Rhinolophus ferrumequinum: one gene and its partners. The protein of the gene in region 3 purifies or fractionates together with the protein of the main gene of each other region. This does not show direct contact. Links are inferred from orthologs where the notes say so. Each region holds a gene or a part of one and is shown on either strand. Other genes may lie near its edges.

Region 1 (3,743 bases), on a different chromosome or scaffold from region 3:
ATTTATTCAGAAATTTCTTTAATTTCTGGTAAGTTGGCTACTGCCACGAGTGTGTTTGGCAACTTCATTTGTATAGAAGGCAGAAAGAACACAGCTTAAACTCCTGTTTTTGGTATCATACTTTATACCAGCAACAATGCTGGGTAATGTCCAAATCTATACTTGTAAGCTTTCTCATTTTGAAATCTGATAAAATACTGTGTGTCTATAGCTTTACTATAGGATGAATAATGTATCAATGTCAACACACATATGGGAATTTCTGACTCACCTTTTGACTTGGATTATAGTTCAAAATCAAGTGCTGAGGCACTTCTTCTTTACCAGCCAGAAAAGGCATTTCCCTCTCTCACTTACCTATAGTAGGAGTGGTAGGTCTGCTACTAACAGCACCAACACTTAACCGTGGAACTAGTCTTCCTTGGTTAGGTCCCTATGGGATTTAACAAACAAATTAGTTTTAATGTTGTTCAGATTTGACACCTAAACTTAATAGGAATGAAATTAGGATTGTTGATGTTAATTATTAATGGATAACCCACGGCAAGAATGCCCTGTTTTTGTTCTATTAGTGTTCCGAATCCAACATTTAAACTAGGGTTTTCACAGACATATATATAAACAGATGAGTGTGCGTGCACGCACACACACACACAGAATTCTGTATAGTACTTAGGTTACGGTAGAATCTTATTTGGGGATAACAGCTAACTTCCTTAACATTTTCAATCTTAACTAGTCAACATCTTAACCCAAGAAGAAATAAATTCTCTTACAGTGGAACTTCAGACAACAAAGGGAGCCCAATATGGGGAGCACCTTTTCAGTGGTGGGAGAGCCTTAGGTCATATTTCAGAAAGCAAGTCTAATTTCTGATGGTATATCATTTACTCTGTTATTGAGCTTCACTAAAAAACTATGTTCAAGTGGAAAGATTGGGAGTTGTGAAACCTGGGAATCAGCCCTAGCTTTGCTACTAACTCCATGGATGAGTTTAGGCTCACTTTCCTGATGTGAAAAATAAGCGTTGGGTTACATGAACACTAAAGTTCCTTTTAGCTCTAAAAACTTTAGGTCTTATATTTTGTATTTTAACATAGCAGCTAACTGCAGTAAATTAAAAAAGTATATATATCCTAGTAAATTATTTTAGCCTTTAATCTACTGCACTATCTACAGGCATTTGTTCTTTACAAATTTCTCTAACACATCTCACCTTTCTAAAAAGCTAAACTGACTAACAATTCTTACCTTTTTAATTAAGGACTTCAGCCTATAGTTTGGAGCTGTTAAGCAGTATCTGTCAGGAGGCAGTCTGGGTCCTGCATATGGCTTAATCAGAGGTAAAGGGGTTTGATTTTTCTGCCTTGCAATATCCAGTAAAAACTTAAAACAAAACAAAAAAAAACTGATAAGAACTACAATGAAAAAATTATAAATAAAATGAACTTTAAATAAATGTTTGCTCACATCTCTCGGGGGAGGAGATGTAAAGGACTGGTCAGCGCGGCACTGGATTGCCAGTCTCACATCGTCTGCATCTACATTGGGTTTCTTAGCATGGCTCGAATAAATTTTTGCATCATCCAGAATTGTAGTCACATATCCTTTAAGAACAAAACATTATTTTCTTAAACATATGGAAACAGCTTAATATTTATGGCCAGTTTTCTTAATGGAAGTTTCCATTAATTGCTAGAAAGTTTATGAGTTTTGGTTCTAATACCTAATTGTCCTATGTATACGATCAATTTTTGAAAAATACCACAGTATAAATACTGTTGTCCCTTAGCTTGAGCTCCATTTTACTGCTTTAGGCTGAATTCTAAGATATTAACTGTTAAAGTAATTTAGTTGAAAATATTCTTAGAATAAAAGGATCTTTTCAAATTCACAAGTTAGGCAAAAATTTTTTGGTGTTATCAACTTACGGAAGGCAAATTCCAACATTTGATTTATAACTCTTGGCTCATACTCAGTGATTCCCATATCCTTCAGGATCTGCGCCATCACCTGTGGATTCAAATAAAAAGGCCAGATGCATAATCTAGGTACTGGAAATCAAGATTGGACCAAAGGTAGTATTTATATTTATGATACAGGGTCCCCCTTCTACAGGCTCCAAACTTGTACTCAGCCGTTTCCTCCCAAGTGAGTGTCAGGATCACACCAAATCCCTTCGTACCCTCTTTCCTGAAAACTTTTTTTTTCCGCGGGGGATGGGGGCGGGGACGAAGAGGCCCGGGTTGGCTTTCCCAGCAGAGGTCGGGGTGGCTACAGCTGGTTGTCATTTTTGGATGTGGCGATGGGGAGAGCTAGCATCAGAATCCTGGACACGAGAGTCAGGGTTCGCAGACCAGGCGACACGACGAGGCGGCCGCGACCCGAGGCCCGGGAGACAAACCCGGGCGGTTGGACTGCGCACTCCGGCGGGGCTGCCGGGATGGCGGGAGAGCGCCCCGGAGCCAGGGCACCCCAATCTCACACTCCTTCCTGCCGCCTCGGCTGGGCTGAAGCCAGCACGCGAGCCCATCCTCAGGCCCTAGGCCTGGGCCTGTCTCCCAGGTCTCTGGCTGCGCGGAGCTTCGCGACCCACCGCTCATCCTTCGCACTTACCAAGGCATCTCTCGGAGCGTTCTTGGGAGGCGCCATCTTGCCCGACTCCATGTTCTCCTGCCACTAGTCATCCGGGGAGAGAAGGCTGCTCGCAGGCTCCTCGCTCAGGCTCCACCCCTGCGGGGTGCGGAAGGCGGGGTTAACGCGCCACCCCTCGGGCCGCCTCTTCCCAGCCGCTACCGGGCCCGGGGGAGGCTGAAGGGGAGTCGGCCGGCTCCGGAGGACTAGAAGATAAGGGTAAATGCTTCCCAGAGAAGCCCTCGGCCAACACCTGGAAGAGCTGAGAAACTCGTGTGTTCCAGAGCTGTTCTCCGGAAAAGGGCACCAAAGGGACCACCTTTGTCTTTTCTGGGGCCTCTCCTCACACCTCCCCTCCTGCCACTCTGGCCCTTTCGGTCTCCTTGGAATGCCTGCAGGGGCCCTGCCTCCACCTGCCCCTATGGTTGGGTTGCCTGGTTAACAGTAGAACGCACAGTTAAATTTGAATATCAGATCAACACCAAATACATTTTTAGCATAAGTATATCCCAACCAGTACACAGTGTATACTTAACACTACAAAATGATTTGTTCATCTGATGTTCAAGTTTAACAGGGCTTTCTGTATTTTTATTGGCTAAATCTGGCAACTCTACCCTATATCCTACTCTCCACACAGCAAGGCTTTGGTCAGCTATGGTCACACTTGAAGCCCTGTCGTGGTTGCCTATTTCATACCGATGAAAAGCTGAAGCCTTTGACCACCTACCTGCAAGATTCTCCTCTGGAGCCCCTTCAGCCTTGTCCTTTGGCCCTGTGTAGTTTCCTCTCTGTCCCTGCTGAGGCCAATTCAGGGCCCTCACTTGCCTCCCAGATGCCCTCCCCTCCCCACTCTCCACAGGACAGCCTGAGTGACTTAAGAAAAACGTGCATCAGTTAACGTCTCTGGCCTAAAGTGTCCCAAAGAGAACTCTTTCTTACTCCTCAATCCACCAATGTGCTAGAATTCTCCATCCCAGGAAAGACACTCTAGCAGTCAGCCGTACTGTGCTCTTTCTCCTACAACCCACATTCAGTCCAGCAGCAAGTTCTGTCAGGGCGACATCCCAAAGTCTGTGTCTCTGCATCTCCATCCAGTGCTACAATGC
Region 2 (3,743 bases), on a different chromosome or scaffold from region 3:
CCCAGCAAACCTTCATTTTGAAAGTCACAACTGGGAAGCCTTCTTCACATCAGTTACCTGATGCTTAGACACTAAAATACAACGGGTTGTGCCACAACCCTGTTCAAAAAGCTTCAGTGGATTCTCAGGGACCACAAGTCAACGCTCTTCATACTTCAAAGTCCAGTTGAAATGGCATCTTCTTCCTCTATGAGTCCCTGGCACTTTGCACCTTCACTGTAGGCCCAAACATCTTGTTTGGACATACTAAAATGCACAGCATACTTTATCTTTTTGACTAGATTATAAGCTGCTGGAGACCAGGAAGCTCATCTTAACCAGTTGTCCCCCAGGATCTGGCATAGCACCTGGCACACAGGCCCCAGAGGATGTTTATGCAGTGAAGAGAGATGAGAGTAGTGCCAATGACTAACATTTAAAATGCTGACTTAGTGTCAGAAACTGGGCTCAGACTTCGCAAAAAAAAACCGAAACAAAAAACCTCTCTTAATCCTCACAAATCCTCTTTGGTACGTCCTATTATTCGGCACAGTTTGCAGACAGGAAACATGCTCAGAAATAGGAAGTAATCTTCCCAAAGTCACAGAGCTAGGAAACTAACACTAACTAGTGCTTAGTCCAGGATTCAAATCCTCTCCTCATTCCAGTTCCCCTATTCCCCCTAACCATAACACATCACCTGGTACTTGTCTAACCAGCCCCCCACCACTTATAGTTAGCAAACTCCCTGAAGGCCAGAATTGTCTTAATTATCTTTCTCTAATGACTTGCACAGGACCCAGAACATAAGGGGTGGGTCGGGGGCGGGAGGGCTGTGTTGTCAATAAATGCTTAGAAATCTTGCAGTTTATGGAGATCACACATGTTCTTGCTTATTTTGTGTCCCTAGAACCCAATTTGTCCCCCCTGCAACCTCCTGTACCCCAGGCCTTAGCAGATGGGACGAACTCAATGAGCCATCCCATAACTTATCAGTCTACCCCTGGTGACGTCGTCTCTGTAGGGTATCACCTGAGTTTCGGCCTCCAGCACCCGCAGGCGCCGGCTGGCAGAGGAAAGCAGGGTTTCAAGCTCTAACTGCAGAGTGTCCAGCTCCTCAATGCCGATGCCATCATCCTCAGAGCGGGCCAGCACTGCTGTGTAGCGTGGACAGACTTTCAGGTGGTCCACAGACTTGAAGTCGTGGAACTGCAAGGGGCAGTCCTTCAGCTCACTCATGGCCCAGGATACCCTGCGGAGCTGAAAAGGAGAGGGACATTGATGGGAGGTAAAGTGGCACAAGGAAAGCCCAAGGGTTCCCTCCATCCAGGAACAGCCTCAAGGAGAAAGCCCGACTTCAGTACCCTATTGACAAGACTGATGGCACTGCTATTACTCCGAGAGCACCCACTGTGCACCAAGCAAGGTGCAGACATCTTACCAGCTTTTCACTGATTCCTCACCCTCTGAGCAGGGACCATGGTGCTCTTCATTTTACAGATAAGGAAACTGAGACTTTGTAAGGGTGGGTACATGCCCAAGCTTACCAAGACTTTGAATCCAGGTATTTCTGAGTCTGAGCCCCTCACTACCATGATACACTATGCCACGTCTTCCTGATGCTCTTTTCTTTTGTTGTTCTTCTCGTGAGTTCTGCTAAGCCTCTGAGCTCCAAGCATCCCATTCTCAATTGTGCCTCCCTGCTTCACCTTGTCTCACTCCTTCCCACTTTGCCGGTTATTTTTGCCCGACAGTGGTTAAGAATGTGATATGGTAAGCCAGACATACCTGGGTCCAAGCCCAAACTTTGCCGTTCTCTATGTATGTGGCCCTGAATATGCCATTTAACTTTCCTGAGTCTCGGTTTTTCCAACTGCAAAATGGGGACAAAGTAGTGTGGGTCTGTTTCCCCATAAGAAGTCTGAATCTGTAAAATGGGGATAATAATGGTACCTACCTCCCCCGGATGTTCTGAGGATTAAAAGATGATGCTCGTCAAGAGCCCAGTTCAGTGCCTGGCACAGAAGTGGGACTGCTTAACGGCTGGCTCCACCCGTGGGTCGCCCCAATGCCCCGCCTTCAGGGTCCCCGTCCACTCGAGACCCCTAACGCGGCTCCTGCCCCCTCTACCTCCACACTCTGGCCTCCTACGGCCCCCGGGCCGCGAGAGGGGGTGGGGAGTTCCGGTTGGTCGGATCTACCGCTCGCAACTGGCTATGGGCGGGGCCCCTGCAGTTGACGCGGGGGCGGAGAAACGCGAGGGAGAGCTCACGGTGCCTTGCGGGGGAGGGTTTGCGGGCCGTGAGCTGGACCACTGCAATTGGGGTGGGGGTTACGCCGCGGGTACCCGAGGGAACAGCCAAGGGCTGGAGGGCGGGGCTCGGCAGCCGGGTTTTCGGTCAGGCATTTAGTTCCGCCGAGCCCCAGAGGCAGCCGGTAGGAGGGGCTCGGGGGAAGGATGGGGGCGCAGAACCGGAAGGAACGCAGGGCTCCTCCGCCTCGCCTTGTCCAAATATGGTGCCCAACCTTCGGCCGGGCGGCACCATTGCATGACTATGGGGAAAGAAAGCGGCAAATAGGACAAGAAAGCCAAAGTCACAAGCGAGAGCTGCATGGATAACGGGAGAAGCTTGAGTACCGACCTGAAATTGCAGCAGTCTAAAGATACCAAGGCAGTCCTAGCGGGAAAACTTCCAAGGGACCCAGCGTTCCGAGGCTCTCCTCACCCTGCTCGGAGCACAGATGGTACTGTCCGGAAGTCCGGGCGGAGACTGCGGCTGCGCTTCTCGCGAAAGGGCAGGCGTCGCGGGCCTGGCCACTTCCGTACTTCCGCTTTCCGGCCCAGCCAGCGCCCGCGATGGTGAGAGAGCCGGGCCCCGGGCCAGGGACCCCCCCCCCCATTCTGTCTCAGAGTTGTGGGTCTGGGGGAGATACGGCTTTGCAGCGGAGAGGCCTGGGGCCGAGGGATGCTGGGGAGTTGGGGGCACGATGAGGCTCGGAGAAAGAAGGCGGGGTGGGGGTCGAAGGGAGGAAGGGGCGAGCGGGGAACGCCCTCGTAAGAAGTAGGCATGGTGACTTCACAGTCTGTCTTTGGAGACAGGTAGGGAATACCTGAGGCATGGAGGAAGCCGGAAGTGAGACCTCCTAGGCTCGTAGTAGCTAGCGCTCAGGTGGTAGGGCTACCTCCCCACCCGGAATAGAACTTCACTAAATGCACTGCTCTGTTTTCTCCTGCCCGCCAGACTCTCTAGTTTCCCCAGGGAAGCGTCTACACTTCCATATCCCACTCTTCTCCTTACCCCCTACCTTGATTCTACCGTACTGAAGGATTTCTTAAGCTGCCTCCACCCGAGCCCCTTCCTGGTCAGAACAAAAACGTTGTTGCCTTACTGTAAGATCTGATACTGCTGATCTCTCTCCCTGGAAATCCTCCTGTTTGATAAATGTGTACGTTCCTGGGAGTAATGTACCTGTCTAGTCCCTTGGCTTTGATGACCTTGTGTATTCTGGTGTCTCCCAAGGTTTGCCTGGATATCTTGAAGATACTTTGACATTAAACCTCCAGATCAAAACTCCTCTTTTCTCCTAAACTCGCTCTTCCTTCTTTGTTTCTTAAATTGGCCATACCTCTTGATTTTTTAAAAATCAGGTTTATTGAGGTATTGCATGAGACTGTTTTATTTGTGAAAGGGCAGGTGTCATGGGGCTGGCCACCTAAAATTCACCCTTTTCCGGTTTATCATCTATGAATTTTGACACACACA
Region 3 (3,743 bases):
ATAGTACAAGCTGCAAAGGATGAGCAGCTCTGGTTCTAGCAGGGGGGGAAGCCCTCACCGGCGGTTGGCGATTCGGCTGCTGTTCCGACCCATTCCCAGGCACTTCTCCAGATGGGGAGCAAAGCGGGAGGCGGCAATGCTGCGGCTGCAATTGGGGCAAACACACTCCTTGCTCTTCCACTGGTTGAAAACCTGTCCAAAGATGTCCAACCCCGGCTGGTCCACGATCTCTGGGGACAGGAGAGGCGTGGCGATCAGGGCAGGCAGGGGACCCTCACCTCTGGTTCCCACCCGTGGCCCCATGGCCTCTTCAAACCCCCAGCCTAAGCTCACAGGAGCTCTAGGCTCTGCATCTGGTGCAGTTTCCAGAGGAGGAACCTCCAAGCACTACCAGGGCAGGACTAGACCGCTCTCCTTCCACCCTGAAGCTCACCAAAATCCTTCATGCTATCAGGGTCCGTGTCATCCAGGAAGAAGTAGCCACACTTGACAGCCCGGTGTACCTCAAAGCAGAATCCCAAACAAGAATCCTCGACCAGGTCCGCGTATATCTCCTGAGCGATGGCCTGGGCCCAGGGGAGAACAGCCACGGTCACAAGAGTCACAGCCCTGGACTGAGAGCAATTCTCACCAACCAAATCTCCTGCCAATTCACCCTGGCCAAAAATAATGCTTCCTTTGCCATTTTCCCCATCTTGACTTTGCCTTCTTTCTTCTTCCGGATCCTTGGGCCTTTTCAGCTGGCTATTCCCTTTAAGGAACAAGGCTGAACTACCCAAATTCCTCTTTGGTGTGGATGCCAGATATAGAGACGTAGAGACATCAAGAGAAAGAACTAGAGGCACACGTGGGGGAGCCCTCACCTCTAGTTTGCTGTTATCCAGGCCAGACAAAGACATTTCCTCCATTTTCATTTGTAAACTCTTGTGGAGACGGCGCTCTGACTGCTCATAGCACAGCGGGCGGCAACACGGCTGCACACATGGGGATGGGGGTGTTGGTGTGAGTCCAAGGCACCTCTGAACATCGCCACCTCCCCTCCACACCTCGCTGCCCAGAGTGTAATCCTGGCATCAGGATATACCCCTCCCTAAGGCCTAGGTTCACTCAGTCTGGATGGTCCTTCAGGGCCTGAAAACCAAAGACAACCTAGTTCTTCCTTCCCAGGCCTCAACTCAGGCCCTGGACTCTACTGCCAATCAGAGTCTGGGTCTATAGGAGGCAGCAGCTCACCCCAGGTCCCCAAAACTCAAACCCCTCTTCCATACCCATGGTGCAATGCAGCAGGGGGAGGAGAAGGAACTCTAATGCCTCAAAGCAAACCCACAGGGTGTGGCAAAGAACTGCACACTCCTAAATACACTCCCCCCTGCCCCAGGCTCTCCTCAGAGTCACCTCTGTTTTCAGTCAGGATGTCCACTTGGGGGGGTACTGCTACCAGAAGTAGGAAGCCCTAGGACCCTACAACCTTCACCCCACTGTCTTCCCTTTAAATAAGCCTCCCACTACAGGAGAGTAGCAGAGTCCACAGAAACCTAGAGCGAAAGGGGCATTTCTAGCCAGCATGAGCAAGAGGGGTAGAGCCCAGTGGGATGGCATGCTAGGAGTGGGCACTCCCCTTACCTGTTCTTCTTTTAGATAACCACCCACCCTCCCTCAGGACCTGCCCGGAAGTCTCCCCAAGAGCCCCAAAGTCCAGGAATTCCCACCAAAGGATTCAGAAACACTGCCCACAGTCTGGGGCCCTTCTGAACGATGGGTGCGAGTTTAAGGAGCTGCCGGCCTGGAGTGGGGTGGGGACTGACAAATGAGCCAGGGGCACTGGGGAGGGTAGGAGGCCGGGCCTCGGCTCTTCCCCCGTCCCTGCGGCACTGCTGCTGCATCATACCGACTGGGGGGAGGAGAGCCGAGCCACCGGAGGCCGGCGCCGGTCCGGGACAGACCGACCCCTAGAGAGTGGGCAAAGTGGGACGCGTCCCGGCCCCTCTCTTTCCCCACCCGCCGGCAGCCCTGACCGGTCGGGGATAGGAGTCCGGGAGGGTGTCTCTATTGTCCCGGGGGCTGGGGCCTGGCTCCCTAACAAAGGCCCCGCGCCCCCTCCCCGGCCGGCCCTGCCCCGCCCAGGGGGGACCCAGACAGGGGGAGAGCAAGGGGCCCCCGGCCCGGCCGGGAAGCCGGGGGAAGCCGGGCGTTTCCGCGTCGGCCCGGGGGGAGGGGAAGGGGCGCTGACCCAGACCTGGGGGGAGGGGGCCCAAGCCCCGCCTCGGGCCCCGCCCCCCGCCCCCCGCAGGCCCCTCCCCCGTCCCTGTCTCCGTCCCGTACTCACCCCGCCCGGGGGGCCGCGCCGGGGCCCGGCGGCCTCTCAGGGCCGCGTCCTCCGGCGGCGGCGGCGGCGGCGGCTGCTCCGGAGCCCCATGTCCGTCGGTCCGTCCTCGCCTCTCCCCGGGACCCAGGGCCCGGGGCCGGGGGGTCGGGCCACCCCCCCGCCTCGCCGCCTCACCGGGCGGCCATGGCCCCTTCCCCTCCCTTCTCGTCCCGTCGCCGCCTCCTCCTCCTCACCTCACCCCGCCCGCGCGCAGTCCGCGCGCCGTCCGCGCGCCCCTCCCCCCGCCCCCCACTCCAGCCCGCCTCTCCCGGGCGGGGGGTGCGGCGCGAGCCCGGAGCGCGCGCGCGTGCCGCGACCGGAGGATGGATGGATGGAGCAAGCGAGAGCGCGAGCGTGCGCGCGCGCGCCCCTCTCCCCCTCCCTCCGCGCGGGCTCGAGGCCAAGCGCGAGCACGCTCCAACCTCCTCCTCTTCCTCCTCCCGCCCCTCCTCAACACCCCGCCCCCGCCCTCCCTTCCTCTTCCTTCTTTCGCTTTCGCGCGCCCAGCGATGGCTCGCGCCTGCTAGAAGGGCCCGAGCGCGTGCATCTGCCCCGCGGCCGCAGCTCGGCAGCATTTGCTCCAGGGGGCGGGGACCGGGCGGGGAGGAGGGGCGCCACGCCGCCGGCCAAAGTACCGGCGGACGGGGACGGAGGCGGGGATATGGGCGGGGCCTTCGGGAGACACTGCGGCCAATCGCCATCTCTCTTCGGCCAAGCGGGCCCAATAGGATGGCGGTGGGTGGGGCGGCGTTCAAGGTGAGGTGCGCGGTGCGCTGGGGGCGGAGACGTTGTGCCGTCCCGGCCGGCTCCGGGGCGGGGGCAGCGGGTGGCGTCTAAAGAGAGCGCCGGCTCCCAGCCGAGCCTGGGACGCCTTCCGGCCCAGGCTCCCCCGCCCTTCCCTCGGGGTTCCCGGCTCTCTTTCCCCCCCACCCCCCCACCTCGGCGTTTGCCCTGAACCGTGCAGCCACTTCTGTGAAGAGGCCGGAGTTAAAGTGGGGTGCAGTTAGCACCGCAGGGCAAAAAACCCACGATGCCGAAGGGGTTTGTCCGAACCTCCGTTCCCGGTTTCTGGACGGGTCTCAGCCCATTCCAGGCCTGCGAATCAACAAACGCCCGAGATGAGGGTCCTCCGCTGAGGGTGGAGGCCGAGCTGTGCCTTTTTGAGCGAAGCGTCCTCCTCGCCCTCATCCTAATTTAGATCCCACACCTGCTCTCCTTTCCTGCTTCCGGAACCCACGCTGGACCCCCCACCTCTCAGACAGCCTGCCTGGCACCAGTCAGACCCTTCTCCTGATCCAGTGCTACTCTCCTGGGTGTGCCCATATCTGCCCGCTCTTACTGTCCGCCTTTACCTTCTGAAAGAAAGAGCCTGTCTCAG

What was found.
Region 1: the proteins of ATXN7L3 (region 3) and TAF9B purify together in Homo sapiens (affinity purification with mass spectrometry; 5 studies listed by BioGRID and IntAct, counting the BioPlex papers as one, with this or other methods). This does not show direct contact. The link is inferred for Rhinolophus ferrumequinum from reciprocal best matches to the Homo sapiens genes ATXN7L3 and TAF9B.
Region 2: the proteins of ATXN7L3 (region 3) and TADA3 purify together in Homo sapiens (affinity purification with mass spectrometry; 6 studies listed by BioGRID and IntAct, counting the BioPlex papers as one, with this or other methods). This does not show direct contact. The link is inferred for Rhinolophus ferrumequinum from reciprocal best matches to the Homo sapiens genes ATXN7L3 and TADA3.

What each region holds. Positions count from the first base shown.
Region 1 is NC_046284.1:75,558,524-75,562,266, reverse strand, and holds the start of TAF9B (transcription initiation factor TFIID subunit 9B), read right to left. Parts: upstream 2,745-3,743; 5' UTR 2,668-2,744; coding exon 2,617-2,667; intron 2,014-2,616; coding exon 1,932-2,013; intron 1,608-1,931; coding exon 1,471-1,607; intron 1,387-1,470; coding exon 1,252-1,386; intron 434-1,251; coding exon 358-433; intron 1-357. UniProt on the Homo sapiens protein: Essential for cell viability. TAF9 and TAF9B are involved in transcriptional activation as well as repression of distinct but overlapping sets of genes. May have a role in gene regulation associated with apoptosis.
Region 2 is NC_046300.1:44,119,749-44,123,491, reverse strand, and holds the start of TADA3 (transcriptional adapter 3), read right to left. Parts: upstream 2,739-3,743; 5' UTR 2,622-2,738; intron 2,440-2,621; exon of another isoform or gene 1,937-2,439; intron 1,240-1,936; 5' UTR 1,219-1,239; coding exon 1,012-1,218; intron 1-1,011. Other genes in the region: ARPC4 (actin-related protein 2/3 complex subunit 4), read left to right, coding at 2,837-2,839. UniProt on the Homo sapiens protein: Functions as a component of the PCAF complex. The PCAF complex is capable of efficiently acetylating histones in a nucleosomal context. The PCAF complex could be considered as the human version of the yeast SAGA complex.
Region 3 is NC_046304.1:39,289,744-39,293,486, forward strand, and holds the start of ATXN7L3 (ataxin-7-like protein 3), read right to left. Parts: upstream 2,450-3,743; 5' UTR 2,327-2,449; intron 1,593-2,326; exon of another isoform or gene 1,396-1,592; intron 975-1,395; 5' UTR 915-974; coding exon 864-914; intron 567-863; coding exon 434-566; intron 231-433; coding exon 59-230; intron 1-58. UniProt on the Homo sapiens protein: Component of the transcription regulatory histone acetylation (HAT) complex SAGA, a multiprotein complex that activates transcription by remodeling chromatin and mediating histone acetylation and deubiquitination.